Notamacropus eugenii: one gene and its partner. The protein of the gene in region 1 purifies or fractionates together with the protein of each later gene. This does not show direct contact. Links are inferred from orthologs where the notes say so. Each region holds a gene or a part of one and is shown on either strand. Other genes may lie near its edges.

What was found.
Region 2: the proteins of ATP11A (region 1) and TMEM30A purify together in Homo sapiens (co-immunoprecipitation; 4 studies listed by BioGRID and IntAct, with this or other methods). This does not show direct contact. The link is inferred for Notamacropus eugenii from reciprocal best matches to the Homo sapiens genes ATP11A and TMEM30A.

Annotation. Positions count from the first base shown.
Region 1 is NC_092877.1:208,824,356-208,840,911, forward strand, and holds the start of ATP11A (phospholipid-transporting ATPase IH), read right to left. Parts: upstream 7,200-16,556; 5' UTR 7,120-7,199; coding exon 7,069-7,119; intron 1-7,068. UniProt on the Homo sapiens protein: Catalytic component of a P4-ATPase flippase complex which catalyzes the hydrolysis of ATP coupled to the transport of aminophospholipids, phosphatidylserines (PS) and phosphatidylethanolamines (PE), from the outer to the inner leaflet of the plasma membrane.
Region 2 is NC_092873.1:145,183,477-145,199,359, reverse strand, and holds the start of TMEM30A (cell cycle control protein 50A), read left to right. Parts: upstream 1-7,032; 5' UTR 7,033-7,171; coding exon 7,172-7,447; intron 7,448-7,559; exon of another isoform or gene 7,560-7,834; intron 7,835-15,883. UniProt on the Homo sapiens protein: Accessory component of a P4-ATPase flippase complex which catalyzes the hydrolysis of ATP coupled to the transport of aminophospholipids from the outer to the inner leaflet of various membranes and ensures the maintenance of asymmetric distribution of phospholipids.

The DNA of each region.
Region 1 (16,556 bases):
GAATTTCAGAACTGAGACTTGAACTCAATTCTCCCTTCTCCAATATGGACAGTCTTCCCTCTATATCATGGGCAGATCAAAGCAGAGAGCTGGCTGCACTGTGGCTCACTCAGCCCCATTTCCTACTTTTGGCTCCCAGTATGAGCCTTGATTCATTGGGAGGTCTCAGGGGGTTAGACTGGAGACTCAGTACTCAACTTCAAAGTGTACTCACTGGCAGAGCTAATGGCAGGCGGGGTCATTACACAGAGATTCCTCAACCACCTCCCTCCCCTCTTAACCCTCTCCAAGGAGGTTTCCTATTCACATGCTTTCTAGTGATGTCCACTATGACTCCACTGTCAACAAGCTAATGCTGCCCTAAGAAGCAGTCAGGAGTCTACAGGAGTCAGGAGACTATTCAACTATTTCGTGATATTTTCAGAGAAATGCAAATACTCAGTAGGGTAGAGGGGCTGGCAAAATGTTCAGTGTGGAGGTCACTGACTCTCCTGATGTCTACGTCTATGAAGTTGGGGAGCATTCATACTTTAAACCTACTACCCAACATAGCCAGTACAGGTTTCTTCTCTTGAATTACCATTTTTTCTGACCACACTCATCTCTAAATAGTCTGGCCCTGCTTTCCAGACCCAGCAGTCCTTTGTAGCCATCATCATTAGCAGCAACCCTTGAGGAATAGGGGGAGCAGCATGGAGTCCTGAGAGAGAGGAAAGGGCAGCATGTGCCAAGCAGGTCAAACCATCACCACCACCACCACCACCACCATCTCTAACATCTCCCCTAGACCCAAATGGAAACAGCCCAAAACCCTGTGCTTAATGGCTCTGGGAATATCACTTCCTCCTACCCCAAGATGACCAGTCCTTCTTCCAGTCTGCCCCTAAAGCCATCTAGTGAAACAGCCCTTGTGGAGAATGAGCCCACCATCTCTGCCACCACCACCACTAATGGCTGACCAACCACCAGCAATAAATAGTCAGGCAAGGCCAAGAGCACATAAAGAGCACAGCTTGCTAGACTATCAGCTCTGCTTCTAGCCCAGTCCTTAGAGTTCCAGGGAAGCAACTGCAGAGATAAGTCCAGATATCCTCTTATGCCTTAACAGTCAAAGCTGCTGAAGACTCTGAAAAGAAAGCTTTCACCCCAAATCCCTTGGGCATTATTATATGGTTCATCATCAGAAACAGATACAATTTTATCAATGGAAATGAAACTAAAAAGGATGAATTCCTTGCACTCTAAGAAAGATGGGGCCTTTCTATCTGACTTGCAACTAAAACCTCCATGTATTGTCTCTCTCATTAGATTATGAACTGTTAACTACACAGGCTTTTCTACTACAGGTATCCCTAGTGATTAGCACAGTGCTCTGCACATAGTAAACATTTAACGAATGCTTTTTTTTCATTCATTCGTCCACCTGCCTTTTTCTAAGTTAGGCTCACCTCATCCTAACTCCACTAATCTAGGCACTTGTGTCCTGCACTAACTGATCTGATAAGTGGTCATTTTCTCCAGTTTCTGACCAGTTAGTGTCCCTCAATAGCCAACAATGACTGAATAAAACAGGAAGGTGTGATATAACCCAGCTCGTGGCTTAAAAAACAAAATTGCTAATCCCTGGATTAACTGCCTGATTCTGTAGCCTCCTTCTCTCCCACAAGGTCTATAAAAGCACAGGCTCCCTAGCTCCTTCACTCAAATGTTATGAGCAGAGGATGAATGTACGAAAATGATTCTGCGTAGGCCAGCACACTTTTATAGGTGCACACAGAATTATTACTTTTAAATACAAAAGCCCATGTGCATATAGATTTGTCCATCTCCAATCTTATTAATAAATTTTCTTTTAAAAAAACTAAAGTATAATATATTTGATTAACAGTAGTCTTTCTCATTTATAATGACCATCTGGATTACCAAGAAGGGAAAATCAGATAGCAGTGTTTCCCCAAAACATAATTTTGGTAAATATTTAAATAGGAAGGGACCTAAAAGGCCATTAAATCCAACATCCTCGATTTACAGATGAGCAAACTAAGGCAAAGAAATATTAAGTGACTTATCCAGGGTCACCTAGGTAATAAGTATCTGTGGCAGAATTTGAATTCAAGTCTTTCTCTTAGCCACTATATTACTCAGCCTCCTCTTTCCACATCAATGATACATTAAGAGATTAGTAATTATTTTTTATTCTATGACAACTTAAAGAGTAGTAGTAAACTAAAGTTTTGTTCATTTGATTTTCCAAAAACCAGGAATTCCAAAAGTAAACCTAAATCAACTTTTCTATTACATTGACATATTCAGAACAGGCATTATTATTAGCAAGGTGCAACAAAGCACCAAAGATCACTTGACTGCGAGAAGTAACATAAAAGATCCCATCAATGAAACCTGAATGACCTGCAAAGGAAGTGGGCTTCACAAAGACAGACATTCTGCACTGGCACTTCTTGGTCAAAAAAATTTGCCACCCTACAGTCAATCCGACGGTCAGCATTTAGCAACATGAAAAGACAGCTGGGTGTCCCAGAAGTCATCTGGATTAGCCCATTAAAATTTCTGGGACACCATGAATCCCTTGGGACATATTAAAAGTCGTTCTCCTTTGGTCCAATCTGCCAGAGCCTGAAAAAGGATAAAAAGGTATGAAGGGTTTCAAAATCTATGCATGCCTCCTTAGACCAATAGTTCTTCATGTTTTTTGCACAATAGAGGCCGCCCTCTGACAGTCTGGTTAAGCCTATGGACTCTTTTCTTTCAGAAAGTCTTTAAATGAATTAAATAAAACACATGATTACAAAAAAAACTCAATTATACTGAAATGCAATTATCAAAATACTTCAGACTCCAGATTTGGAACCCTGGTCCTAGGGAAAACACTGAAGTGAAATATAAGCAAATAATTCAACTTAATCTATTTAGATACATAATTATTTTGAAACATCACATTAGTTTAGTATAAGTAATAAATAAATTCTTTAAAATGTTTTTAATACACAAAGCCAGAATGAAAGTCATAGGAAAAACATAAGATTTTATGACTCTGGGAATGTTCTTTGGACCTTAAACTGTTATCTTCTGTACCTGAAGTGTCTGGTCAAAAAGCTTAGTTTCATAAAACTTACTACGATATGGAAAGCAAATTGTTTGTAACTAATGAAAATCACATAAAAAAGTCACCCACAGGTTAAGGTTTACAGTATTGAAAAAAAAAAACTACAGTCCTGATAAGAGTGAAGCTGAGAAGAATAGGAGAAATACAAGGAGAAAATATGTATCTTCATTTAAAAAAATGAGGAAATAAGTTAGGAAAGGTAAGAAACACTGAGTGAAGGAGTGTGGGGGCTGTGAGGCAACATACAATGTCTGGGGTGGGGGGGATCCCATCTACTTCAGATTCAACAGGTAAACAGGTATGAATTATTTCACACAAACCAAATCTCAATTTAATAATAAAATACTAGCATTTGAAGGCTTCTTGAAGATCCACTCTAACCCCTTCAGCCTGCTTAAACTGTAGATCTTGATCCCTGAGTCCAACACCTTCATTTTAGAGAAGTTAATTGACTTGCCCAAGATAAAATCAGTAGCATTGCCAGGGTCAGCATTTCTGATCACTTTCAGTCTACTAAATGCCCCCATTATAGATATCCAATTATTTATTATGCATTTAATTACTGTACATGACAAGTGAATGTTATATATATTCAATGGGTGTGTAGCAACAGGTGTCACAAAGCATATTTACTGCTTTAAAAAAAACAATCTCTGTTGCTAAATGACTTCCAGACTTGGAGCACCTCAGAATTAGAAAGGAAGGCAAACAGGGAGAAGCATGGTGAGGGTAAGAAGACTGGAACATATAATAAAAAAGGAACTCAGAATTGGAGTAAAGGATTTCATTAGGAAAACATGATCAAAAAGGAGATGACAAGAGTGATGGATAACATCCATCCAATATTCTCTTTACTAGAGGAGAAATTGAGCAAGGCTTCCAATACAACAGGCAGACCTCCATAACAAATTTATGGGAAGACCCAGAAAACAGCTGCATGGGATTGACAGGTGTACTCACCTAAATGGATGACATCACATCATTTAAATATTTAAGGTAATCACAATCCCTATAACCCCTACTTCCCTGCCTCCACTTATCTATATTGGCATACAGAATCTTAGATTTAGCAGAGACATCACAAGACATCTAATCTAACCTTTACCCATAAAACATACTTGTCTATAGCGTCTTTCTAGTGCCTGTTCAGCCTCTTTAATCAAACACTTCCAGTGATGGGGACCTCATTACTCCACTAATGGCCAGTACACAAGTACAGCTTGTTCCTTTTGAAGGCACTTACAACTTTTAGAAAAGTGTTCCCTATGTTGCACTTAAATTTTCTTCCCTGTAACTCCCATTCACTAATTCTAATTCTACCTCAGAGGGCCACATCTCATCTCTTTCATTTGACAACCCAATTAATTTATGTATTTAAAGCAATACTCATCAAAATAGCAAGAAGCTTCTTCATAAAATTAGACAAAATTACACACAATTAAATTCAGAGAAGAAATATCAAGTATTACTCCAAAAAGAAAAGATGATAGAGATAGTCTTGTACATGATAGCTTTAAAACACATACCAGTTATTATTTAGCAAGTTATTATTTTTAATTATTTAGCAAACCTCTCTGGGCCTTATTTTCCTTATCTGCAAAAAAAAAAAATAAAAGGATCAGACTTTGACCTCTAGGGTTCCTTCCAACTCTAGATATTCAAAGACGACTACCATGCTCTCATGTGTATTCCCTCCCCCCTAAAGTCTCCTCTCTTCCTTGGATGATGTAATGGATATCCTGCTAGGCTTAGAGTCAGGAAGCTCCCACTTCTATAACTTACTAATTGTATGACCAAACCAAAGGTAAGTCACAACTTGTGTTTCAATTTCTTCATCTGTAGGATGGGGAAAGTGATACCTGTAAAACTTATCTCACAGGCTGATTCAAATAATGTATGTTAAGGGCTTTGCAGACCTTAAAGCTATTATAATGTATAATTATCATTATTATTGTTGAGATGACTATTATTGTGGTTTCTAGTTTCTTTACCATCCTGACTACCTTTTCCTGCAAACACTTCAGTTAGTCAATGTTCCTCGCAAATGTCAGGCTCATAGAGGGACAGAACCTCCTAGATGTTGTATGACCAAGGAAGGTACAGTGAGATTGCCACCTTCTCAGAGGAACAAGAGTCACCTTTCAAAATGATTTGTCTGTAATGTTTGTACAACTGGAACTAACTTTTAAAGCAGCATCTAGAACTGCCAGGAACTTCCTGCATGACCTCTAAAGAACCATTTCCCTATCCCTGGGCCTCATTTTACTCACCTGCCAAATGTCAGTGGAACTAGAGGATCTCAAAGACCCCTTCCACTTCTATCAGCCCATGCTTCTTTAGCTCTAAGTTACAGACATTCCTATCACTTTCTTTTTTCAATATTTTCAATGAAAAAACGAGTAATTCTACTCTGAAAGGAAATCATAAGATAAATTTAGTGGGCAGGCCCTGTTTCTACTTTCCCAGAATTAAAGGTAAAAACTACCTTCAATCAATAACTGCACCTTCTGAAAGAGGCACATCTTAGCTCCAGAAAACAAAAAAAACACAAAATTTAAAACACCCTCTTTTTACCTAGTTTTTTCTCATATTTCTCTGACTTCAGTGTATATCATGAGACTTAAAGATACATGATGGACCATGTACATACAGTAGGAAGGAGGAGGATGGATTGCCCTCAGAATTTGTCGGTTCATTCTCCTTATGCTGAGCTATATACTGTAGCTTAAATTAGTTACTACAGGCACCAAAAAATTTTGCATCTTCCTACGGGTTTGAAGTAATGCAAAGCCAACATTTTAAAAAAGTGAGCTAAAAGCATCCTCTCCTCATCTCATGCACTTGTTCACTATAGAAATAGACTTGCTAGTCTCCTGCTGGTGGCATTCCAAAGGAACCTGAGAACCCCAGGGGGCATCTTATCTGATCGGTTCACTTTCAGAAAGAAAACCGGCTCTTTGGAATCAGAAAAGAAACATTGTTAGTGTCTTTGAAATTACTACGCTTTTGTTACATTTTAACACCTTCACCACCACCCCCAGTCCTAGTTTTCCAGGCAGAAAGCAAAGTGTTTTAGCAGAACCTAAAACCCCTTCTCCAAACTGTTCCTTCCACCCTAATCCCACTTTAATTAGGTTCATAGGAGTTTGGGGGCGGGGGGGGGGGGGCGAAATTAATCATGCAGGTAGGAGATGCCTTGCAAATAAAGTTCATAGCCATACCACGAATACCCTTCCTCCTCCCCCTCTGAGAAGATATTTAGGGGTTTCTTTTTCTTAAATCATCAGAACTACTAGTTGCAGTGGGGAAACCAAGGCGGGGGGTGCGGGGGGTGGCGAAGTGATGCAGTTGTTTGCAGAGGGCACAAAAAATCAAAGGAGAAGTCGCAGGGAGGGACGAAAATATTAAAATGAAAAACCCCTGGCCAAGAAGAAATAGACCAGAGAAAGGGGTAGGCGGGGAGAACCCCTGGACAAGATGAAATAGACCTGGGGGAGAGGCCGGGGAGTAGAACCTTCTCCCAGTCACCGGGCCCTGTCTGGATCCCTAAGGAGAGTTGAGGGGCCTCAGGGCCCTCCCCTTCCCAACAACCTACTTTATCCCTAGTTCGGGGGTAAAGTGCCCAGCAAAGAAGCCAGTCTCGAGTCACATGATTACCCAATCCCACGTTGGAAACAATCGGGTCTTGGGGCCGGGCCCTAGGATGAGGACGGGAGGGTGGAAAACAACCAGGGATTAGCCCCATTCCGTCCATCCAAGGATGCAGACTCGGGCACAGCACTTTCCCCGGTGCAAAGAAAAGGGTCCTGTCCCTGTAAACGTAGGGTCCCGGGCTCAGGGATGCAAAAGGTGTCTCACTCTGCTCGCTAAGCCCCGAACTTTTATTCGCTCCTTCTACTTCCCCCTCCCGCCCGAGGGGCTCCCCGCGGGGGTCGGGCACTCACGTATCGGTTGATGAGAGTCCGGATGAAGCTGCAGTCTATGGTTCCTGCCATGGTACCTGCGGGATGAAGCCCCCCGCGCCGGCGCAGCTCCTCGCTCCCCTAGGCGAGCCTCAGCTCGGGGTCGCCTTATCTCTCCCTACTCCTCCTCGGCACGGCCATGGACTTGCTGCTACATCGGTCTCCGGAGCTGACAAGAGGCGAGCGCACGCGCCCAGCCCGGGGCCCCCGTCAGGCTCCGCTGGGCTCCCTCGCTGCCTGGCCGCCTGCCTCCTTCGCTCTTCTCTCGGGTCTCCCGCCTCAATCACGCCCGCAGCAGCTCAGGCTGCCAGCCGGGGGGCGCACGGGGCACTCGCGGGGCGGCACCTCCCGGCTCATGCCCTCCTTCCCGGCCCTGTCCCGAGCCCTGGGCAGAGCGCGGCCACCTGGCTGCTCCCAGGGCACTGCACGGAGTGGGGAAGCCCAGGAGAAGGAATGGTTTTGGTGGGGATGGGGGGAGGTGGGTCTGCTGTAGGTGGTTGGCTCGTTCGCTTTCTCTTGCCACCCCCTCACCCTCCCCAGGCTGGAATCGGCTTTTCTCTCGGGAGGGCTGCCGGGAGGAGTCTCCTCCTCCCGCCTCGGGCGACCCTGGTCGGGGTTCTGCTCTCTTCCCTCCCGAGCTCGCAGTGGCTATCCGTTCGGGCTCTTCAGCCCAGCCCAGGCTCTCCGCTCACCTCCCCCTCCAAGAGCTTGGGCTCTTTGATCCTTCCCAGGCAATTCTGGCGGCGAACGTCACGACCCGCGTGTGAGCATGCGCCCCAAAAGCTACACGCCTCCTCCCGCTCCCCCTGCCCCGCAACACACACACACACGCATACAGACACACACATACACACACACGCGCACACACACACACGCACCGAGACTGCCCAGGCGCGCGCGCGCGGTCACGGACCATCAGGTCTCCCCTTTTCCTCCGGGGTTCCTCCTCCTCCTCTTAGAGGAGGCTCCTTATTTCGCAGTCCTTCCACCGCCTCTCCAGAAGCACATCCCCAGTAGTTTTACCCAATGCCTTCCTTCCCTCCCCGCGGCCTCTTCGCCGAATTCACACAGAAATTGGCGAGTTTCTGCATTGGAATGGGAAGGCGGAGTGGACGCGCAGGAGGGAAGCGGGAACACGGAGAGTCAGAGCGCAACCCCGGGCCTTGCCAGGCCACGGAGGAGGACGAGGCGCGGAGCCTTAACTTGGGAAGGCAACAGGCCCAAGGGCGCCTCACGAGGCTGGCCAGCCTAGGAGATCTAGGCAGCAGCTCTCCCCGGCCTCACCCTGTTGCTACCAGAAGCCCGGGGCATGAGTGGGAAGGATGGGGTTGGAGGAGAGAGAGCTGAGAGAGGTTTTTAGTTTGTTTGGAAGTTTATACCCATTGCACTTTGTGAGCGTGTTTACAAACAGAGGTGGGCCTGGGTATAAAGTACCCCGACTGTTTCTAGGTGAAAGCTTAAGGGAGCATCTGAGCTTGCCCTCGGATAGCGTGATAGAGGCAGGCTTCCCTTGTAACTGTGGCGTCTATCGTTCCTTCTCGTTGTGATCAACAACCATAGAACCTGGGCACTTTTATTCCCTATCCTCTTCCTCTAAGGGAAATGAGGTTGAATCGAGGAAGAAAGGTCAAGTAGCCTGTGGCTGAAAACGGCGGTGCCAGGGGATGGAGAAGGAATGAATCCCCAGGTACGCAGGCTTGGGACGCTGCCGGTGCTGATGCTGTTGCAAGGGCTCTACGTTTCTTCACGTGCACCTACCTCCCAGGGGAGCGCTCTCCCCAATCACCCCACTATCTGTGATTGTGTCTAAGGTGACTTCACAGCGTAGTGTAGCGGACAGCGGGGGAAATGGAACTCGCCAAGGCTGCTGAGATCCAGGAAACAGCAAAGGAGATGCGTTGCCTAGGATCCCAGCCTGCTGGGGCTCGGTTTCTGGGCTGCTCTTGCAATTCTCAGGCTAAGGGGGGTCGGGGGCAGAGACAAAGCTGCGGCAGCTAGCTGTGAGACCCTAGCTCCCAGAAGGGAGACGCTAATAGCCCGGGGCTTTTCTGTTCCCAGTTCCTTCGGGAGTGGGGTTGTTTGGTCTGTGCAGTGGTATACACTGAGCGTAAGGAAATTTAGCACTTAAGGATATTTGGAGAAAGATCAAGGCCAAGCGCCAGTCCCTCCCACTTCACAGATGGGAAAACAGCGGCAGCTCTGTTCGTAAAGTGACTCGCCCAAAGTCATATAGCTAATTAGCAGTAGTCTAAAAACGAGAAGTCAGATTTCTTGACCCAAAGAACAAGCCTGTAATTGATTTGTATCCCTGAGACCCAACTGATTACCTGGAATCCTCTATTTAACTCTGCTTCTCAGGCCTCTGGAAATATTTTCCATTACGCTTTCTGGGGAGGGAAAGCGGGGGGGTTTAGGGGAGAAGGGGAGTGTTGGGGGGGAGGGAAAGAGGTGGAGAATGAAGGACGGGTTAAGAATAAATCCTTTACCAAACTTCAACTCCTTCCCTCAGTACTTAGGCTAATCCCTCCCACCCCAATTAGAGGGGCACTCAATCAGTATGTCAGCCCTCCAACCCAAAAGGCAAGCCGCTCCATGGCAAAGACCCAAGTGGTGGACAAAATATCCATCCATATGGATCTGTATGTCCCGGAATGCAGGGCGGGGTGAGTTTGGGAGAAAAGAGGGAAGTCGGATTTTACGTTCTTTTTAGCTCCTGGCATGTACAATTTATACAAGGAGCGGGGGGGGGGGGGGGGGGGGGGGGGGGGGGAGTATTGACTGGGAAATCATGCTACCTGGACCTTGTTGCCAGCTGTGCCTTTAAATGTGTCTTTGGGTCTCAGTTTCCTCCTCTGTTAAAAAGAAGGTTGTTCTAGATAATCCCTAACATCCCTTATAGCTCTAGAAGTACGCTATAAAACAGGATGACAATTTGAAGTTTTCAGTATTGATTTCATTGGCTAAAGTCAGAGTGCATAGCATCCCCTTAATTATCCACCACAATTCAATCTTGATATGTTAAAAAAAATTTTTTCTTCTAGCTCTTGTTGATGGTCATTTGTGACACATGAAAAAAGGAGAGAAGAGTATTAGATTGAATTTTGTTTGCTTGCTTTTAAAATGCCTTCAATTTCTGAAATGCTTAACAGAAGTCACGCAAACAAATAATTCCCACAAAGCTGTTCTTGAATGCTTATTTTGTGGTTTGCTGTCCTCCATTTTAACAATACTGAAAAATTTTACTAATTTTGGGAAAAGTAAGTCTGAATTAATGAAAAGTCCATTGGTTAATTTTGTTTTTTAGCAGAAGTGCAATTTTATTGCTTTCAGGAATAGATTACTCAAAACTAGCTTTATTATTTATTAGGTTAGCATAGGAACTTGCTTTAAGGAATTAATAGGAAAGAATTATAATTAGCATCAATTATGGCTAAATAGGTTCTGCCTTTTGAGTTTGTGAAAAGGATTAATTAGCTAAAGTATTTTAAATATCCTCCCAGCAAACTTGTCTACACTTGCCAAAGACAAACTTGAGTCCCTGTCTAAATTATGGCCAATTCTGGATTGAAATCATTGAATTTTAGAGCTGGAAAAGGCCCGAGACATCATTTAGTATATCTCCTTCACTTTACAGTTAAGACAGTTGTAGCCCAGGAACTTGCCCAGAGTTAAATATAACTAGCTAGTGGCAAAGGGAGTACTAACCTAATCTAAGTTTTGTGGTTCTTCCTGTGCCTTCTATGAGAACATAATCTCTCTACTATATAACAGAATAATTCTTTCATATCACATCATCATTATAGCTCATCCTTATATAGAGCCAGTTTTGCAAAGCTTATTTACATACATTGTCTTTCCTAAGAGCAGAAGCTGAAAAAAGACAAAAATTTAAAAAAAAATTCTCTCAAAGCCTGATCCCTTAATTCTTACCTGAAACTTTTTCCACTATACTACATTGCCTCTCGTTCTTTGCCTTTTTCTCTAATTATTTATGGGTGTGTTTCTGTCTCTTCATCTAGATCGTAAACTTCTATGGGTACATAAACCATGAAATTTACCTCTTTCATATGCATGTTTTTTAAAAATCTGGACTTACAATTTCATCCTGTAAAGAACTATAGGAGTAGAGACTCCATCAATGCAGCTTATATACTATAACATAGTATTAGAGAGCTGCTTCTGGCATTGAGAGGGTAAGTAATTTGCCCCAGGGTCATTCATATCCTAGGAGTCTGAGGCAAAACTTGAAAGCAGTTCTTTCTTATTCAAAGGCTAATCTTATATCCTCTACATCTGCATCATTGGTAGATATTATATGTTCAATGAGTATTTTATTATATTTGTATTTGATTGATATTTGATTATATATGTATACTTATTTTATATATTATTGATTATTTATTGATTTATTGATACAACGACTAAGATAACAGAGGCACTAGACTTGGAATCAGAGAACTTGGACTCAAATCCCACTCTATGAGTTACTGCTGTGACCTTGAGGAAATTAACTTCTCTGGGCCTGTTTTTTCATCTGTTAAATGAGGGAGATGGACTCTATGAACTCTATATCCTTCCAACTCTACATCTGTGATATGATGAATTCCATTTTACAAATGATGAATTGAAACATAAAAAAAGGTTCAGTACCTTCCCTACAGCCAAATACGTTACTCCTGACAGAAAGGGTTTCTAGTTTCCCTGACTTTTAGTCCAATTGTTTTTTTCACTGTGTGAAAACAGAGCCATTGTTCATTAAGACTTCACTAATAATAATCAATGGTTCTATGATGTCTGTATGGGTTAGGACAAGCTATGTATATATGCCCTGAGGTTTGCTGATTTGAACTTCCAGAACTGCCAACAAATTGTTTTGTATATAATGTGCACTCAGCTCTTTGTGGAATGAGATTAAAAAAGGGAAAGAAGTCAAGGCACTATGAAGCCTTGGACTCATAGATATCTTTCTTGAGTCCTCAAATTGCGAGTACCCCAAACCCTGCCACCAACCAGTCAAATCTCTGTGTTTCATATATTGTTCAAAGAAATCTAGGTTGTGGCCTTGCCCAAATCAATTGAGGCAAACTCAAAGTAAGACCAGGATTTTACTCATACACCAAGGCAGGACACTCTGGTAGCCTGACCAGATTTCATCTGTGTTCTGCTTTTTATGGACAGGAGTAAACAATTTCCATACAATAGAAAGACAGTCTTGACTGATGCACATAATCTATGAAGAGATAGGATTAGGGTCACTTTAGCCCCACCCTTATTACAGTATCACAGGGAAATGGATTAAAGGAGCATGCTCACTACCGTCTACAGCAGCTGCCATGTACTCAAACTTATAAACAATGTTTTAAACTGGAGTCTCCCAGACTGACTCAACACAGTGGCTGATTTCCCACAGTATATTCTGTATGTACTTATATGTGAACATATTGTATCCCTGTTTCACCACCACCACCCCCAGGAGAATTTAAGCTCTTTTAGGGAAGGAACTATTTCATTCTTAGATTTATTTACCTGCTAAAGTAAATGTTTGTTGACTAACTGAGTTATAGGTGGGAAAGTTCTTTGCCAATTTCAATTGTGACATCTCAATTAGTGCGAATAATACTTTGAAATGGTTGAATGTATTCAAATTTATACATCTGTATAATTATGTAAAATAGGGTAATTATTCCCAGCACAGTGGAAATATGCAGTGTAAAATCAAATGCAGTCATTTCTCAGGATTTATTATTTGAACTAATCAGACCCTGTATAAAAATGGTTCATGTCCATATCATACTTTTATTTTTTTTAATGAATCTTCCATCTTGTCAATGTGGGTACTCTTTTCCCAACCCGTCCATACCCTATGAATCCTATGTGACTCTTGTCCATGTTTTTCCATAAATTCTGCACTGTGCTTGACTCTTTCCTCAGTGTTCTGTGGATACCAATGGAATACTCAGGCCATCCATTAAGTATCCTCCATCTCATTCTATAACTGGCTCACTTTCTTTTCTTGTCATTCATCTGATGGCATCCTTGATTCCATTTCTCTTGTGCAATTCATTGTTCTTAAACTATTTCAGTATAATATACTCGTCAGGTACCTCTCCATTGTGCTTTGGGTGGTTTGAAACCTTAATTCTACAGAAACTGTGGTATTCAATGATTCAGAGACATACTTTGGCGTTGGAAAAATATTTCTTTTTAAAAAGATAGGGCTTTGTTTTAGGGAAAAGCTTATAGTCTATAAAAGTACTATATAATTTCCTAAAGAGAATCTAGTCCATATTATACTGGAGAGGATTTTGGTATGGCAAATAAAAACTCATGAGTGAGTCTATGGGGAAGAACAATTGAAGTAACTGGAATCATATTTCTGAGAAATAGTTGTCTAGATGATAGCCATATAGCATCATGTTTTGAATATCAACTGTATGCAGAACTTTGTACCAAAAGAAGCAATTTCCTCATGCTATATAAATGATCTTTATGGTGGAGAAGATGATGATGAAGAAGAATTACATTTTATAAAGTACTTTCAGTAAAGAAAATCAAATGCAGCTCACCAAAAATTCATTTCTAATGCAATGTAGCATGTCAATCAAAAACTCAACTGACTTTACTAGTGACTACAATTCATCAAATCATTTCTTGTGAAACAAGTCATGGCTAATCATGGATTCTTTACTTCCTGCAAGGAATTTACTTGCAAGGGCATTTAAGTTCCTTTCAAAAAGTTCCCTAAACACAGGCTTCACAGAAGTGCCAATCCAATTGAGCAAGTAGCACTTCATTCAATTTCTTAATCCCAGATATCTGGACACTTTGAACCCTACATGTTTAATTCCAAACTACTGACGGAAGTTGATTCTTTAAACACTACAATGTTGAGTGGAATTTTGCCACTAAAATAATTAGAAAGAACTCTTTTGCAAAAGTAGAAAGACTATGGATATGTTGTAATATTACATGTAACATCAACTTTTTTTACATGCTGATTAGTTTTATAAGTTTTTTATTTCTCTTTTAACAAAATTCATTATTATAAGGGATGGCTCAAGGAAGGACACAGTGGGACATGTAAATGATGGTAAATGACAATATATTTTTTAAAAAGCATTAGTAAAAAGAAGAAAAGAAAAAAACCTAAGGTAACTTGTGTCATGAATCCATCATGTGGGCCAATCTTTTTGTATGTACTGTTTTTGCTTCTGCAGAAAATGCTAATAATTTCTTTGACTAGAGATTTTAGACTTGCTTTTTCTCTGTCCATCTCATCTTTTCCATCTTTGAAAAATTTTCTTCCCTCAGGTATTCAACCTCAGGTTGGGTATGAGTCACAGGAATGAGTCAGGAATTGCAAGTGTTTTCCTAAAACAATACAATATTCATTATGCAAATAAGGTCACAGGAAACTTTTTTCTTCTGTTTCATATTGTGGAGTTGTCTGTCCCAAAATGAGCTGAGTGAGAATTTACTCTGACTGTAGGCTTTTCCGTTTCTTTAAAACTTTTTATTTAGTGAGGAAACATCAGAGACAAATCTGATTAAAACTTTTTTTTCCCTTTCTCTCATCTTTTTACCTTTTTTTATACTAGCCTCTCCTTGTCAAATAGGAACACTGTTTTTACCACTGTAAACCATTGCTTTCAATTTCAGTTGCTCATTAGAAAAAAAAACCCTGAAGTTCTCTCATCATTAGAATTAAAAACAAACTAACAAAAAAGAGCCCGCTGCTCATTTTGAGTTGAAAATATTTTTTAAATACAATATTACTCCTACTCTTCATACAAAATAAAAATGATAGGGCATCTAAAATTTTAGTCTGATGATGGCAAGCAATTCATTTATATTCTCTTTTGAATTTTATGACAATAAAGACACATTAACATTATATGTATAAAGTGTTTTGGTGCAGGAAGGAAAGACAAAGGCCACCAGCCCCACCCCACCTCTGAAGTGGGTCTACATAAAGTTCAGGGTGACCTATGTGGCCTTGAATGTAAAGGTCAGGAGTGTAATATGATAAAAGTTGGAAAGTATTTACTCACCCAAATGTCAAGTAGACCTGGAAGAACTCCTGCTGAAGGTGAAGCAAAGTACTAAAAAAAGATGAACATCATCTAAGGGACTCTCTGCTGTGCTGACTGGGGCATTGGCTATGGAGCTTATTTTAAAAAGAAGAAGAATTATAAGAATTTCCTATGAGGAAGGAGACAGATAACAGCTGCAATTAAGTGTAGAAGCAGCAAATAATGGAAGTTCACTAGAGAAGCAGCAGATGATGGTTCAGCAAAGGAAAAACCCAACAGATGACATAACAGTTCTATAGGAAATATAGCAAGCAGGCAGATGTTCCAGCTAGAATGCAACCTCAGAAGCTATAAGTGTTCCTTCTCCCATTGGTAGCAATATTTATGGAGATGTATATGAGGGGGGAAAGAATTTTCTATTTGTTTTAATCTCACTATTCTATTTAATTAAATACTTTTACTTTAAATTAATAAGTCCTTTGGTTATTTTTGGATGGGAACTCATGAGTTATTGGGGGGGGGGGTTACAAAGGGATCACTTTATTTTTTTTCATAATAGTCATGTTATAAAAGAACACACAGACAAAAGAAGAAGAAAGTTTTTTTTAAAAAAAAAAGTATGTTTGCATCTGCATTCAGTTTCCACCTGTTCTTTCTCTGGAGGTAGATAGCATTTTTCATCATAGATCTTTCAGAATTGTCTTGTATCTTTGTATTGCTGAAAATAACTAAATCCTTCACAGCTGATCATTGTACAATATTGCTTTTACTGTGTACAATGATCTCCTGGTTCTGCTCATTTCACTTTGCATTGGTTCATGTAAGTATTTCCAGGTTTTTCTGAAATCTTCCTGCTTGTCATTTTTTATACCACAATAGTATTTCATCACACTCATATACTACAACTTGTTTAGCCATTCCCCAATTGATGGGCATCCTCTCAATTTTCAATTCTTTGCCACCACAAAAAGAGCTGAGATATATATATATATATACACACACACACATACATACATATATATATATATATATATATATAATCACATGTAAGTCCTTTTCCTCTTTTTAAAAAATCTCTTTAGGATATAGACCTAGCAGTGATATTTCTGGGTCAAAGAGAATGCAGTTTTATAACCGTTTGGACATAGTTCCAAACTGATGAGCTATGGTTTTAAAGAATTGCTCACCCAAAGAGTACCTTCAACCTGGATTTTTCTCCTTTTCTTTCTAATTAAAGGGCCATCCCTTGACTCATTTCTTAAAGAGGCCTATTCCCTGAATGAATGTTACCTCACTCTAAGTGAGAACCTGAAAAGGCCTTAGCCTAAAAGGACAAGGGTCTCCCATTGCGTCCTGGTCCACCTCTAGTCCTGTTGAATATCTGGCCACTGGACCCAAATGGCTCTGGAGGAGAAGTGAGGTTGGTGACGTTGCACA
Region 2 (15,883 bases), on another chromosome or scaffold:
GCCTGATGTAATTTCCCTCTTTATCCCTTCTAATTAAGTTGCTTTATCTGAGATCATATTTGCTAGCTCTGTTGTTCTAGGCTGCCACTATCTCAGGCCAGTACCCTGGTGGTTTATGTTTGGTATCAGAAAGAAATGAGACACTCGTGGGTTATTCTGTAATTAACTAAAGATTTACCTATTCATAGCTGAAGGATATTGAAAAACATATGCATTGAATGACACAATGGACTCAGTAGAGCAAAGCTCTTCTGTCCATTACCCATCCTGGTCCATCAGCCAAACACTAGAATGCCTCTGAGAACGAAGGATGAACAACAACCATAGTAACAGAACGTCTGGAGTTCCTTGTATTCAGATATCCAGAACTGTTGTCAAGAGTCTGAGCCTTTAGAATCCTGACCCAATCAGGTTTCTAAGGCATTTTCAGCTTCTCATAAGGAATAAAAAAAGCCCATCTTGCATGGAGGTAACAAAGGGGAGAAATTAGGATTTTCCTCCTACCAGACATGCTTTTAAAATTCTTCAAAAGCATAACAGATTTTGCTCCAGCCCTTTATTTAAATCTGCATGAATATTTAAAGTATGTTTCTTAAACAATGTATTGTTGGATTATTTTCCAATCCATTCTGCTACATTCTTTACGAAGAATAGAGTGGTGAGGGAGAAGTGTGGTAACACCAATGATCTATAGTAGATGCCATTTGCATTTATTCTACTCCCTCTTCCCCTTGTCAAGATCTCAATCACAGGTCTCAGTACGCTTTTCCATTTTCATTTACCCCTTATCTATTAACTCTCTGAAAATGAGTTTCTTTTGCTTATAATTCCCACCTAATTCCTACCTCTTCCTGTCTATGCTTAATGCTCCATGCCCTTCTTTGCCCCTACCTATTTTCCTGCTGAGTATAATGAGGGAGAAACAAGAGGCAGTAAGTGCCATGTAGGTCAAACCACTGCCACAATTTCAACCACCATCTCCCTTCAGACCCCAGGCAAGACAACCTAAAGAGCCTCAGTAAAAGTAGTGCCCCAAAAGTACTGGTCCTGTTCTAGCCTGGCTTCTTTAGATATCATAGAGAGAAGCAATTCTTATGGTGTGACCTGGTAACTGGCTTACAAGGAACTACAAAGAACTAGGTTCTTTATATTACTTACTTCCTTTATAACAGTTAATGGCATTAGTGTTCTAATGAAACACCTGTTGTTTTTTTCTCCCTATAATGTAAACATTTCATCATATACCCCTTCCAATTGTTCAAATGCATTTACCTTTCTATGTTTCTCTTGACTTTTTTCTTTGCATTTCAAGTATCTATTCAGCTCTGGTCTTTTCATCAAAAATCATTAGAAGTTCACCATTTCATTAGAGGTTTAGTTCCCCCCTCCCCCCCAACCCATAGGAATATATTCAGTTTTTCCAAAAATGTTATTCTTGATTGTAAACCTTTGTACCTTCATCTTTTGTCTTATGGAATAGCATATTCTAAGATCCCCTACCCTTTATAGGTGTAGCTGCCAAGTCTTGTGTGATCCTTATTCTCCTCAATACTTGAATTCTTTCTTTTTGGCTTCTTGACTTCTGTAGAATTTTTGACTGTGTGGCTCTGGATTTTGGCTCTGACATTTGTGGGAATTTTTCATGTTTTTTTTTTTCAGGAGGTGATAGTAGATACTTTCTGTTTTCACACTGCCCTCTGGTTTCAGTAGATCTAGGCAGTTTTCATTCATGATTTCTTGAAATATGATACTAGGTAGTTGTTTTGTCATATCATAATTTTGTTTGGGCTCGTTTAATTTCCTATTTTTTCTTCCAGTGCTTTCATTTATATTATTTTTAAACTTGTTTCATTTTTCCCAGGAATTCTGTAAAACTTGTAGTAAACTGTATTTTTGCTTGAGGTTTTCATTGTAGATTGTGTATTGTGTGGAGTTCTCTTTTTCTAAATTTGTGGCTTCAGTATTCCTGGAGATACAATATTTATCAGTAGGGTTTTCTTTTGTTTATTCATTTTTGCAGTCCTACCTCCTAAATTGAGACTTTGTGTCAGAATCAGACTGCATACTTTTGGAAGCAATGGTGGGGTCTTATTTGGTACTGATCATTTTGTAGGGTTCTGTCACTGCTTCCTCCAGGGACTCTTACGTTGTGTTCTTCAAGAAGATCTAGAAGTTTGGGACAGCAATCTATACCAGGATAATCCATAGCTTGACCTTATCTTTGCCTTCCTGATCTGAACCTTGCAGGTTCCTGACCTTCAGTCTGAGTTCTGAGTAATATTGCTATATAGCTTTGAAGGTAACCTCAGAAAAGATTGCATCTAGTAGGTTAAACCAGTAAATCCATGTTCTTATCTCCCTGTTCCTGGGTACTTAGCTACATATTCCAGATTTGGAAAGCTTCTGTTCAGTGTGATTTTGAAGTGGACTTTTCTTGCTAAAATCCTTTGCTTTTGATTTTCTCTTTTGTGTCACCATAGGCTGTAAAATGCAACACAATCTCTCTTTAGATTTCTTGATCATTATTTGGTATGGTGCTAATTTTTCATCCTTTCTGGAGTAGGAGAGTGGGGCTCTTCTGCTCTCATTTATTCTGCCATCTTGAAGTAATCTCTTGAATAGACAATTTTCAGAAGAAGAAACGCAAACTACCATCAACTATATGAAAAAATACTTCTTTTGTTGTGAAGTCATTTCATAGTCTGCATGATTTCATTTGGGGTTTTCTTGGCAGAGATAGTACAGCGGTTTGCTGTTTCATTCTTCAGCTCACTTTATAGAAGAAGAACTAGGGCAAACAGGGTTGTGTCATATAGCTAGTAAGTGTCTGATGTTGGATTTGAACTCGGGTCCTCCTGACCAGCGCCACTGTTGTATCCACTGTGCCATCTAATTGCCCTACAAAATTGCTACATTATCATTAATAATAGAAGAAATGTATATTAAACCTTGAGGTTTTTATCTTGTACCATAAGACTGGTAAATATGACAAAAGAAGAAAATGGTAAATGTTGGAGTTGTTATGGGAAGATACTCATTGATAGCTGAGTTGTAAACTGACCTGTTTGGATATCATTAGGAATTATACTAAGAAAAAGCACTAAATTGTACATACATATCAAAGTGAAGCCTATGTATCATGGAAGTCAAAGGCAACAGGAAAGCTCTCTATGTATAAAAATATTTATAGTAGCACTTTTGTGGTGGCAAAAAACTGCCCATCAACTGGATGATGGCTGAACAAACTGTAATATATGAATTTAATAGAACAATGTTTTACTATAACAAATGACAAATATGAAGACTTCAGAGAAACTTGAGAAGCCTTATATAAATTGACAGGGCAAAGAAAGCAGGACCAGGAGACAATTTATACAATGACAACACTGATATAAAGGACAACAATACTGAAAACTTAAGAACTTTGAACAACATAGTAACTAATTTGACCTCAGGAATGATGGTGAAATATGTCTCTTCCCTTTTTACAGAAAAATAGCAGAGTGCAGGAGTAGAAAAAGTCATGTAATTTCATATATGACAAATATGTTAATTTGTTTTTCTTAAATGTGCTTATTTCTTACAAGAGATGGTTTTGTTATTGGGAGAATCATTGGGAACTGGCAGGCAGTGTTGTTAAAAGAAAAAGGGGAGAGGTCATCGATAAAGTACGAAAAAGAAAAAAACAACAAAAAAAAGGAAAACAAAAGAGTTGTGTGTTGTTGTAGCCAAAATATGTATCAATTTGTAGCTAACCTGTTGATTTACCTTTCAAAATCTAGCTGGACTGCTTGAAAGGTAGCAAAGAGTTCGTCATTGGTTGTTGTTGTTGTATCTGACTCTTTGTGACCTTGTGAACTATACTGTCCATGGGGTTTTCTTGGCAAAATTATGGTTGTGGCTTGCCACAGTGGATTAAGGCAAACAGAGGTTAAGTGACTTGCCCAGAGTCTGAGGTAGGATTTAAACTTAGGTCTTCCTGACTCCAGGCCAGCACTCTATCCACTGGGCTGCCTAGTTGCCTCTTGACATTGTCATTGGGACCATAATCAAAAGTTTTTATAGCTGGAACAAACAATGCTTATGTCCTATTGACATAGCTTTTGAGAACCCAGGGTCACTTCCATGCTATGATAAGGAAGTAGGGGGATGTTGGCGGAGACTTCCATAATTAATTAGAAAAATAATCCTGGTCTTTTCTTGCAAATCAAGAACTACTCAAATATTTAAGATTTCTAGGAGAATTTGTAGAGTTCTGGGCCAATATGAAAGGTGAAAGATAATAAAAGAGGCAACAGTATAGGTTGAAAGTTTCAACTAAGATAAAGGAGCATTTAGTTAATTTCCAGTGGGGAATTATTTAGTTGTGAAGGATAAAACATCTTTTAACTTTTTCAAAAGAATCTAACAAACAAATGTGTTTTTAGTATGATAATTTTGTCAAATGCTAAAAAAAGAAAGCAGATTTCTTCCATGTTCCTATTTTCCTAAGCTTTCAACCTAAACTGTTGAATTTTTTTATCCCTTTTTTTCTTTCCTAGTGGCCAAGAATCATGTACTCTGCATTTTTAAAGACCAAATTAAATTTCTTTGGCTTCTCAAAAACCATTCTTTGGCCTTTGATACTACTCAAGTTTCTCCCTTAGCACAGTGATTTACACTAAGTACTTAATAAACACTTTTTTCTCCTGGAAATATCAGACTATGACTTGATTGATAGCTTAAGTCTTCATAGATGTCATTTAAAAGGTCAAACTCCTCTAAAACTATTAAAAAAATAATATAGGACAATTTTTATTTCATCTACAAAAGAATACAAATAGTATAAATTACATCTAGCATTTATACAGTGCTTCAAAGATTTGCAAAGCATTTTGTTATTTTGTTTGAGGTAGAGGTGCTATTATTATCCCTATTTTATGGATACACACAAATTACGTAAGTTATTCCTCCCCTTTCTACACAGGCCTTTTGATTCCCAGACAGAATTTGGTTAAATCTCCTCCCTACCCTGTTTCTTCCCTCATTTTACAAATGAAGAAATTAAGGCCGACCAGGTAGAATGACTTGCCCAAGGTTACAGAGGGGGTGGTAGAAATCCAGGACTCAAATCTAGGTTAGTCATTAGATCCAGCACTCACTGTAACCTGTTGGTCTAATTTTTTGTTGTTGTTTGGAGGCAATTTAGTGACTTGCTTGGAACCAAACAGCTAGAAAGTGTCTGAGGCTGGATTTGAATTCAGGTCCTCCTGACTCCAGGGCTGGTACTCTATCCACTGCTCCACCTAGCTGCCTCTACCTGGTCTAATCATTGTTAGCCATCCAGTGACCTTCTCACTTTTCTTAAATAAAAGACTAGGAGTAGCTTCTGACCTCTAACCTGACCATACTAAGTTACAACTCTTATCACCCAGAACTTCCTTGTTTCCCACATACCCATATATTTAGAGCTAGAAGGGCACTTAGAGGTCATTGAGTCCACTCTGTAGTGAGGGTGAGGAAGGCCAGTACCACACTGGAAGAAACTGTTCCTGATATTTGCTATCCACTTTATAATTGCATGCATTTTTACCGTGTTATTTAACAGAAAGAAATAAATGATTATTTGCTTCATGCTTCCTCCCTCCCAAACCTAAAGCTATGGACAAGGTCAAAACAGCACAGATCAAAACAAGTGTAGGGTAAAACCATTCACTGACTTCAGTGATAGATGCTGCCACGTTTCAGTACAACACGCTTTTAAGGAAATACTAAAAATTGCAAGGGCCAACCAATCCCACCAAAGAATCGCAGGCTATCCTACTGACTTAAATATAGAACAGCCAACTATCAAACACACACACTTCCTTCCATTTCCCTTTCTTGGCCTTCCTTAGACAAAGAAAAACAAACAAAAATTCCTGTCATCCCCAGAGTGGATGTTAGAGCGCCTTCATCCAGCAGCTATGTCCCAGATAGGATGACTCCATAATGGGAAACAAAGAGGGAAGATCCTAAGTGGCTTTCAGGAGGAAATTAGCAGGCAGAAATGTTGATTCGTTAAAAACTGTTGCTTTTGAGTCTGGGTTCTGTTCCATAGCAATGTTTTTCCAACAATCCCCAAGGGACCACTCAGTGAGACCACTTCCAGCGAGTCCGGTCCCCTGCGCAGGACACAAGTTTCCTCGCTAGCCACCCGAAGGCCAGGATCGTCTGATACTGTCTGACGCTGATACTGTTTCAAGCTCAGGCATTTTATGTTTCTGCAGTTGAGTGAGGTGGGGGGGGGGGGGGGGGGGGGGGGGTCTACCAAGGAAGGTCCTGGGCTTTCTGGCCCGTTGGGAAAACCAAAGCTTCCTCCTCCCTTACAAAGGCTGCTGGGTGGCTCGGTGGGCACAGCGCTGGAGCTGGAGCTGGAGTCGGGAACACCCGCGTTCCAATGTGGCCTCAGACACGTGGTGCGTGAGCCTGGCAGAGTCAAATGGCAGACCATGAAAACCCCACCAACGTGGGGTCGCGTGGGGTGACACAGAGTCGGACACGCGTTAACAACATTCTTTCCCAGTAGTTTCTCCAGGCCTTCAAAAGCGGAAGGTGCGTCAAGGTCCCGAGTTCGATTCCAGCTCTGCCACTGATGGGAGGTCTTGCACAAATCACTCTCCGGGCTTTAGTAAAACGAGTTGGGGTGATTGTTGTGATTAGCTGACTGCTAAAGGGTCTTCAGGTTCTAGATCTAGGCCTCTCCGATCTCCGGGTACAACCTAGGAGGCTGGGAGGTAACTCCAGGACAACTGCACCTCGTAGGTTAAACCCGTAAGGGAAACTAGGAGGCGGGCGTCGCGCGTCACTCAGGCGCAGGGGCCCGGCGGCTGCGCGTGCGCCAAGCCCGGCCCGTCAGTTCTCCTGCGGGTACGAGCTTCCCCGGAGACGCCAGGCGGACGGTTATCCAGACCGCGCATCCGCCCCTCCCCTCCGCCTCTTCACCCTTCCGCCTTCCCTTCCTCTGGCGCCCCCCGCTGACGCCAGTTTCCGGTTCAGCGGTCCCCCGCGCGAGGGCGTCCCGCCCCTTCCGCCCCGACAGCAGCGGCGGCTGCTCCTCCTCCTCCTCCCCCTCCCGGTCTCCTGTCACATTCGGCGGCTGCGTCCCCTCGGAGGCTCCTCCGCGTGACCGGGAGCCGGGCCCCAGGGGTTGATGGCGATCAACTATAACGCTAAGGACGAGGTGGACGGCGGGCACGGGTCGAGCCTGGTGGTGGGCAGCCATGCGGGGCCCGGGAATGCGATTGGGGGCGGCGGGCCGAAGAGCCGACGGCCGGACAACACGGCCTTCAAGCAGCAGCGGCTCCCGGCTTGGCAGCCCATCCTGACCGCGGGCACCGTGCTGCCGGCCTTCTTCATCGTCGGCCTCATCTTCATCCCCATCGGCATCGGCGTTTTCGTCACCTCCAACAACATCCGCGAGTTTGAGGTGAGGGACTGAAGGACGGAGGGGCAGGGGCCGTGGGAGCCCGAGGGGGCCGTGGGAGCCCGAGGTGTCCGCTGCCCCCTCACCGCCCTCGGCCGCCTCCGCGTCTGTTTACCTGCCCTTGCTCTCGGGACCGGTGCGCTGTCCATCTTGCTCTGGAGTCTTCCGGGATTTCCTCCGGGCTGTGACTAAGGCGGATAACGATCGGATGAGGGCAGCGGTGGAGGGGTTGTTTGTTTTGTTGTTTTGGTTTGGCTTTGGAGGGGGTGGGGGAGAAAGCCCCTTCATTATGACAAGTGTATCTTGACACTTTGCTGACTCGTCTCTCTGCATGACAGCAGGGTGCTGTTAACAGCCTTCCTGCAGGAAGTGAAGCCAAGGGATGGCTGGCTGGACGGGCAGAGGGAATTTAAAATGTTACGGTGTAGTTACCTGGCTGTGAGCTTGTGGACAGCAGGGTTAGCCCCTGGATTGTGGGGAAAAGGAATCAGAAACACGTTGATATTGGTGATGGTGCCGGTGCATGAAAGAGCATTACACAGATAACCTCTAGGTTTGGGTATAAACAGGTCTTTTTAGTTATAAAGTATGAGGTTAATCAAACTTTGAAATGTCACTTCTGTTTTAAGGTTTTTAACGTTTTGTATCGTAATTTAGTTCTCTTATTACTAATCCTGTTCATCATAATCCTCAGAGATGTGGTCTAAGCAGTTCTGCAGATTAAAAAAAAAGAAGGCAGGTCTTGGAGTGGGGAGAGAGCATCATCTTAAAGCACTGAGATGACTACTGTACTTTTGTTGGTAGGGTAGCAGCATTGATGAAAGCCAGGGTTATTTTCAGACAGCCAAGAGCCAGTCTTCCATTAATGGCTTCTTGGAAAACAGTAATCAATAAACTTTTATTAAGTGCCTACTATGTACCAGGAGCTGAGGATATAAATAAAAAAGTGAGATAGTCTTTGCCTTATAAATAAAGGATATATATTTGAAAATGTGCAGTGATGTCAGGGCCACTACCAGTTGGGGGAATAAGGAGGTGCTTTGTAGGAGGTGACAGTTGCTAAGCCTGGAAGGGAAGTAGGGGTTCCAAAAGGCATGAGTGAGGTTGCAGCACATTGCATGGGGGAGTGGGGAGGGGGGAGGCCAATAGATAACCTGTAAATCAAAGAATTAAGATACGGAAAATGGCAAGTGGGCCAATTTGACTGGAAGGTAGAATATTTGAAAGGGAGTCATCTGAATAATGCCAGAAAACTAGGTTGGAGCTAGATTGTGCAAGATTTTAAATGTCTAGTGGAGAAACTTGTATTTTGACCTAAAGGCAGTGGAGTGTTACTGAAGCTTCTTTAACAAGAGAAGTGGCTTGGTCAGACCTGTAAGTTGGATGTATCAATTTAGCAGTTATACCGTGAAGGAGGATTTGGAGAGAGGAGAGACTGGATGCAAGGAGATAGAGCACTGTCTTGTGTCTTTCCATCTGGCTCTCTGTATTGGGAAAAATAAGGTTAAAGTACCATTTTAGAATCTCCATTCTACCAGTAAATAAATTGCATTACTCCCCATGTTCTATGCAACTATATATTTTCTCTCTGCCTATTTTGTTACTTTTAAAAGGAGAGGGATGGGGGGCAGCTAAGTGGCCAGTTGAATTGAGCACTGGCCCTGGAATCAGGAGGATCTGAGCTCAAAATTGACCTTAGACAATTACTAGCTGTGTGACCCTGGACAAGTCACTTAATTTTGATCGCCTGCCCAAAACAAAACCCCAAAAATAAAAGATGAGGGATGAATACTGAAGTTTTTTGATCCCTCCCCTGCCCGTTTTTTTAAAACTACTTTTATTTCCTTATCCAGTTTTTGTAAAAGAGTACAAATAGCTTTATAGTCCTTTGGGGCTTATATGTGTATTCTAGTAGGGCTTTTAGGGTTATTCCTTTTTTTTTTTTTAATTGGTATATGCCTTATCAAAAAGTGCACAGGTGTCTGCTTTCTTGTTTGTAATTTTTTCTTGTTTAATTGCATCCTAGAAGGCATGTGAGACCACAAGTTCTATGTGTTTGGCTGAGGAGATAAATTCATAGAGGTACATTGTAGTTCCTAGGGTCAAAAAATTCATCACCAGCTAGGCAAGCTTCTGGTAATGAATATTCTTGGTCTCAGAAACTCCTGAAATTATGTGTATCAGGGACAGAGGAAGTACCAACATTAGTGAAAATAGGTAATAGCGATAGTGAATAGCAGAGCTGGAACTTGAACCCCTATCTACTCATTTCAAATCCAGGCTTCTTTTATTACAATATGAGAAATTTTATAATTTTAGCTTTGGTTTTGTAGAATGAGAAAGTTGAACTAAATGATTTCTAACATTTCTTTTAATTTTAATATTCTGATTCTAATTTTAGATCTTTTATAGATTCTTATTTTAAAATTTTGTTACTTTTGGAGACTTGAAGAAATGACTATCTCTTTAGCATATAAAAATCCAGATAATTTCCCCAAACACTGCCAGTTATACCCAGGGTTTCACATTTGCCTAAACAAGTATGTAGCCCAAAGTATGTTGTGTTTTCATGCAGCTGTGTAACAGGAAGTTCTTGTCATGACTAAGAAACCGTAAGCCTCCACCACCTTTTAAATTTATTTCCCCATATCTCAATTTCTTTGTCGTCATTTCATTGTACTACGCTAGCATACCAAGGCAAAGTAAACTTTGGCACTTTTATAAAGGGTTTCATTTGAAGATTAGGATATTCTTGCATTCTGCTTCAGATTTTCAAGTCTGAGATAAAATCAGTTGATAATTATCTGCCACCAAGGAATGTTACAAAAAGAGTAATTAATTGTCTATAGGTTACCTTGGACTCCTGAAAAAGGTGCTTGTTCTTTCCATATTCTAATGCTTGTAGCTGACAGCCTGCTTATTTCTCCCATGAAATATGTCTATTTTTGTTTGGTGGTGTTTTTAGATTTGCCTAGTATAAATAAAATAAAATTAATAGGAATTGTGTTATTGTAATTTATCTGCTTTCATACTTTGAAGTATGTTTGTCAATTGATCTGTGTTTTCCTCAGTGTGTAGATACTCTAAATAACCATGCAGATATGAACAAGGTTCATATCCTCCAGTAAATCCTTTGCTGTCTTTTACTCTGCTTCTCTTTACACAGTTACTGATTGGTGCTTTTTGTATTCTGCTTACACCTACCACATAACTTTTCAATACCCTTTGCATGAGACTCAATTTAATTTGTATAATTCTTTAAAAACATTTTTAATGTTTAATCATGTCACAAATTGTTGAAATACATCAGGGAATAAATTAGTATTTTCTTGAAGTGTGTATAATGATAAGTGGGGAATAGTTAAAATGTTCTGAAACAAAAGTAATTTTTTTTAAGGCCAAGGCCTCAATATTAGTTATGGCTCAAGAATAATGAATTTGTAATGTAAGTTGTATTGAGCTAACTTGGAGGAGGCCAAGCGAGAGTATTCTTGAATTTAATGTAGATATTAACTGGGACATAGTTATGCCCTGGAATGTAGTCCAGTTTTAAGTTACTATCTGTAATGAGATTAAAAAGACATCAAGCAGGATTATTTTTGTAAATTGTGGTGTAGTGGAAAGAGTACTGAGATTGGAGTCAGAGGACTTGGGTTTGAAGTTGATCTTTGCCACTTGCTGCCTATTTCACTTTGTACAAATCAGTGAACCTTTCTGGACCTCACCTTCTTCTTTGTGAGGAGGTAGGACTAAATATCTAAGGTCACTTGCAGCTCTAAATCTCTGATCCTATAAAACCTCAAAAGGTATTCTGAATTAAGATACCATTTTGACAACCTAAACTTTGGTCCTTTTTATCTTCAGAGCTATTTAGCCTTAGAGGACTAGTTCTACCTGATTCTAATAACTTTTGTAGGCTTGCCTCCATGATCTCAAATGAATCACATGCTTCTTTCTCTCTTCTTGTAACACTGATTCTTATTATTGGTTCTTTTGTATCTCTGGTTATTTTATCACTTGTTTTTAACAATACTTTTTTGCTGGTGTGTGTGTGTGTGTTTGTGTGTGTGTGTGTGTCTGTGTGTCTGTCCGTCTGTCTGTCTGTCTGGTCCCTAAGAATCTCTTTAAGTATCATAAAAACAGATTTCTCTTTAAGTATCATAAGAATAGATTTCTAACTGACAAGTATTTTAAAGCAGTGCTTTATGCATAATTGACATTAAAGAAATGCTTTTGACTGGGTTTTAGGAAAAAGTTATTTAGTAGAAATTGATCCTTTAAAATTAGACAAAATTATTTTAAAGTGAAAATTAAGGTCACAGAGTGAGACTCTTACACATGTAAGAAAATCTTTGAATACAGTTCTGTGACATTTCTGTGTTCTGAATTTTTTTTGCTTAAATCTGACACTTGCTTTTTAAAAAGAAATTTAAATCTAATGTTGATTATAAATGAGATATAATTCAGAGTATTGTAATTTTTTTTTAACTTTCTGAATCTGCTTGAGTTACATCGCCTTGTATATATATGTAGGAGAAACTATAAGACTAAATTAGTACCTGCTTGGGGTCAAGTAACTTAAAATTTAGTGTTCTGATGACTTCATATTTTATCAACCAGAAATAGTTCATTCAAACAGAATAACATTTTTCCATTCATCACTAAAATACTTTCATGGGATTGTTTTTCTAAGATAGGACATAGAATTCCATTTTGATATTAATGTGCTTAATTCTACTGGTAACATACTTTGTTACTCAGCATTTTGTTGAGTTACTTAATACAGATCTTATATTGATCTCCTTTAGAGCTGAGTTACATTCAGAAATAGAAGTTTTCCACTACTTCTGTACAGTGTAAAAAGTGCATAGTCTTTCATTCTACCTTTTCCATAGCATTGGTCTTATACTCTTAGGAAATAGAACATGTTTTTAGAATTACCAAGGAGAACAGTTCAGTTTGATTTAGGGGAACATTTGCAATGATAGGAAAACAAAACTGAGAAACCCAATAAGCCCATAGCTAATCTATTCATCATCATCTGTTGTTCTCTTTTGCTTCTGGTTTATTGTCTTTAAGACTTAAGCTTACCTGGCAGGTAACTAGCCAGTCATTGTATGCTGCATTGTACCTTTCATTCTTTTGACATTTAATAAGCATGAATTTTTTAAAATAATGGAACCTAAGCTGCTCCTAGAACTCCTTGGTGCTTGTTATTGCCCCAAGTACTTTTTTCTTTCTAACTGTAATAGAAAAGGTCTGACTCATTATCTTTAGTACAAAACTTGTTTCATTCACAGGTATTATATCCAACAGATTCATTACAAAATGGACATTAGGAGAACCAGCCATCCTTGAAGTTTCAACTGATGAAGAACCCTGTACACCACTTGAGTAAGGGTGTTGTTGATCTATTAAATTTGTAAGAGATTTTAATCAGTTAGTAAATTTGTAGTGAGCATCAGTGTATGTAGGCACTGTAGATACTACAAAGTATAAGACATGGTCCTTGGTCCAGGGCACATAAGTATATTGGTGAGATAAAGGGAAGGGACATTATAAGTCATCTAGTCCATGTTAGTCCAAGCCCCTCATTTTATAGATGAGAAAATAGTGATTCAGATAATTTAGATACCTTGCTCATGGTGATTTATTAGTACAGAAGAAACCAGAAATGAGCTCTTATATACTGTCTAATACTATTTCTAGTATATCATACTGTAGGCATTTTTTTAGCTATCAGTTTTCTCCCCAGGATAGAAATAGTTATTAAATTGGTGAGACCTGTTGTTTTGTAAATTATTTATTCATTATTTTAAATGACTTCTTGTAAATAGTTGTCTCTACCAGGAGGCAGATTTTCATATTGAAGTAATATCTGTATACTATTAGCCACTAGTGTTTGCTCTCAGTTCTTTCCTTCCCCTTCTCTTAAAGAGAGCTAGTAGGATTGAGTAAAGATTTCTTCAGGTCTGTTTTTATAGATTGACTTCCAACTTTTCAGGCTTAAATTTGGTCAAATGTCATGCTCCTGGGTCTGCCACTAATAGTACAAAGTGTTCAGATAGGCTAAGTGTTCACTTATTAGAGATATTGAAGAAATTCACGCATTAAAGATAGGAAGTTGGATGAGGTGATATGTAAAATCCCTACTAACTTTTATAATTCTAGGAATATAAGGCAGAGTGTAAAATGCCAAACAAGTAAAGATTTTGGAGTTTAGAAAAGAGCAAGAACTTGCTTTTCTGAAAACAAATCTTATTGGTAACTATTGTTTTTATATCATCTCTCTACCAGTTAGCCTTCCCTTGTGTTAAGCAAAGCCATCTGACATATTAACCTTATTTGACAGTGTATGCAAAATTATTAACCCATAGTTTCTCACCTCTCTAACAAAAGATTATTGTAAGGGTCATAGATCTAGAGCTGGGAGGGATCCCAGAAGCCATCTAGACTAATATCTTCATTTTTATTGTATGATGTAGCTGAAGTGAAGTGACTTTTCTCAGGTCTCACAGTAAATTCAGTTCAGTTGTTTCTCAGTCACGTTGGACTCTTTGTGACCCCATTTGGGGTTTTCTTGGCAGAGATAGTAGAGTGGTTTGCTGTTTCCTTCTCCAGCTCATTTTACAGATGAGGAACTGAGGCAAACAGGGTTTAAGTGACGTGCTCAGGATTACACAGCTAGTAAGTGTCTGAGGTCAGATTTGAACTCAGGAAGATGAGTCTTCTTGACTGCAGATCCACCACTTAATCCACTGTGCCACCCAGCTGCCCCTCAGAGTAAAAGCAGAGGCAGAATTTGAACTCAGGTCCAAAAAGAGAAGAGCCAATGTTCTTTCCATTGTGTTATTTTGTTGTCTCATCTCTTCTCTATGGCCTGCATTGGTGATTAATTACATAGCTGTTCTTCTTTGTCATTGTATCCATCATTGTGTATATTGTTTTTCCTGCTTCTATTTACTTGTCTGTATCAATTCGTATGCCATCCCATGTTTCTCAGAATTCCTTATATTCATCATATCTATGGGACAATAATATTTCATCACATTCATCTGGTACAATTTCTTAAGCCTTTCTACTAAAAAGAGTTCATTTCTGTTCGTAGATGACTTGATATTTGAGCTAGTTGTAGAAAGTGATATTGGATTTTGATAAAACAGATAAAATGGGAAAATATTCTGTATCAAAAGGTAAAGGTTGTTGAGGGTGAGGAAATGTGAGTAAAGACACAGAAGAATATATGTGTGTTGAGAATATATATGTGTTCTCCATTTGATTGGAGGAGAAATTTCATGTGAGAGAGTATATATTGTAAGGTATGGTTGGAGAAACTGGTTGGGGTTAAAATTAGTAGGGAGTCTTGAATGTGCAACTGAAATATTTGAACTTTATTCTGTAGACCATCGTAGGTGATATGGGGGGAAAGAGAGGTTTTTTATTTTGTTTTGTTTTGTTTTTTGAGCCTGGAGAGGGCATTTTGTAGCTTTGTTTCAAGTAGGTGAATTTGTTAGAAATGTGCAGTTTAGGTTGCAGAGATAACTGAAACTATTAAAATGGAGTACCATACATTGATAAGATCTTGGATTAGGGTAGTAGCTGGGAGAATGGAAAGGAATAGGGTGGATGCCATTGAGGTACAAAAGAAGAGTTATGACTGGCTTGATTTATTTGACTTGTGGGAGTGAGGGAGAAGAATTCAGCCTGGGTGTTTTAGGAGAATAATGGTACTAATAACAGAAATGGGGCATCATGGAAGGGGAACTTTTAAAAAAATTATTGGGGAAGTGAGAGGCAAGGTGTAGTTGAATGAGAATTGCACTAAAAGTCAGAAGATCTGAGTTCTGGCTTAAATTCTGGGACCCACTAGCTATGTGCCTGTAGACAAATCATTTAGGTGCTCTGTGTTTTGATGTTCATATCTTTAAAATGAAAGGGATTTGACTAGATATGTTTAGGGTCTCTTTTTCATCTAAAAATTAATGATCATCTTGATTTAAGGTTGACCTTAAGGTGACAGTAGGACATCAATTTAAAAAAATGCATAGAAAACTGTTGGAAATGCAGAACTTGTGCTTGGAAGAGAGCTCAAGGCTAGAGATATATTTCCATTGTGTTTTAAGATTTACAAAGCACCTTTCCCATAAAAACCGAGCAAGATAGTACAAATATTATTAGTCCCATTTTGCATATTAGGGAATTGAGGCTAAGGCAAGTGATTTATTTGCTTTAAACATCACAAAGCCAGTGTTAAGGGCTGTTAACCCCTGAACTTGTCTTTTTGAGTTGCCATATTTTCCAGAAACACTGGACCTAGAGCATGCAGGAAGCCCTGAATGTGTTAAGGAGGAAGTTCCCTCTGAGCCGAAATAATTTGTTGTTTCACCCCAAGCTGGACTCCCTGTGTGTCCTTGGGAGGCATGACAGATGCCAGTGAGT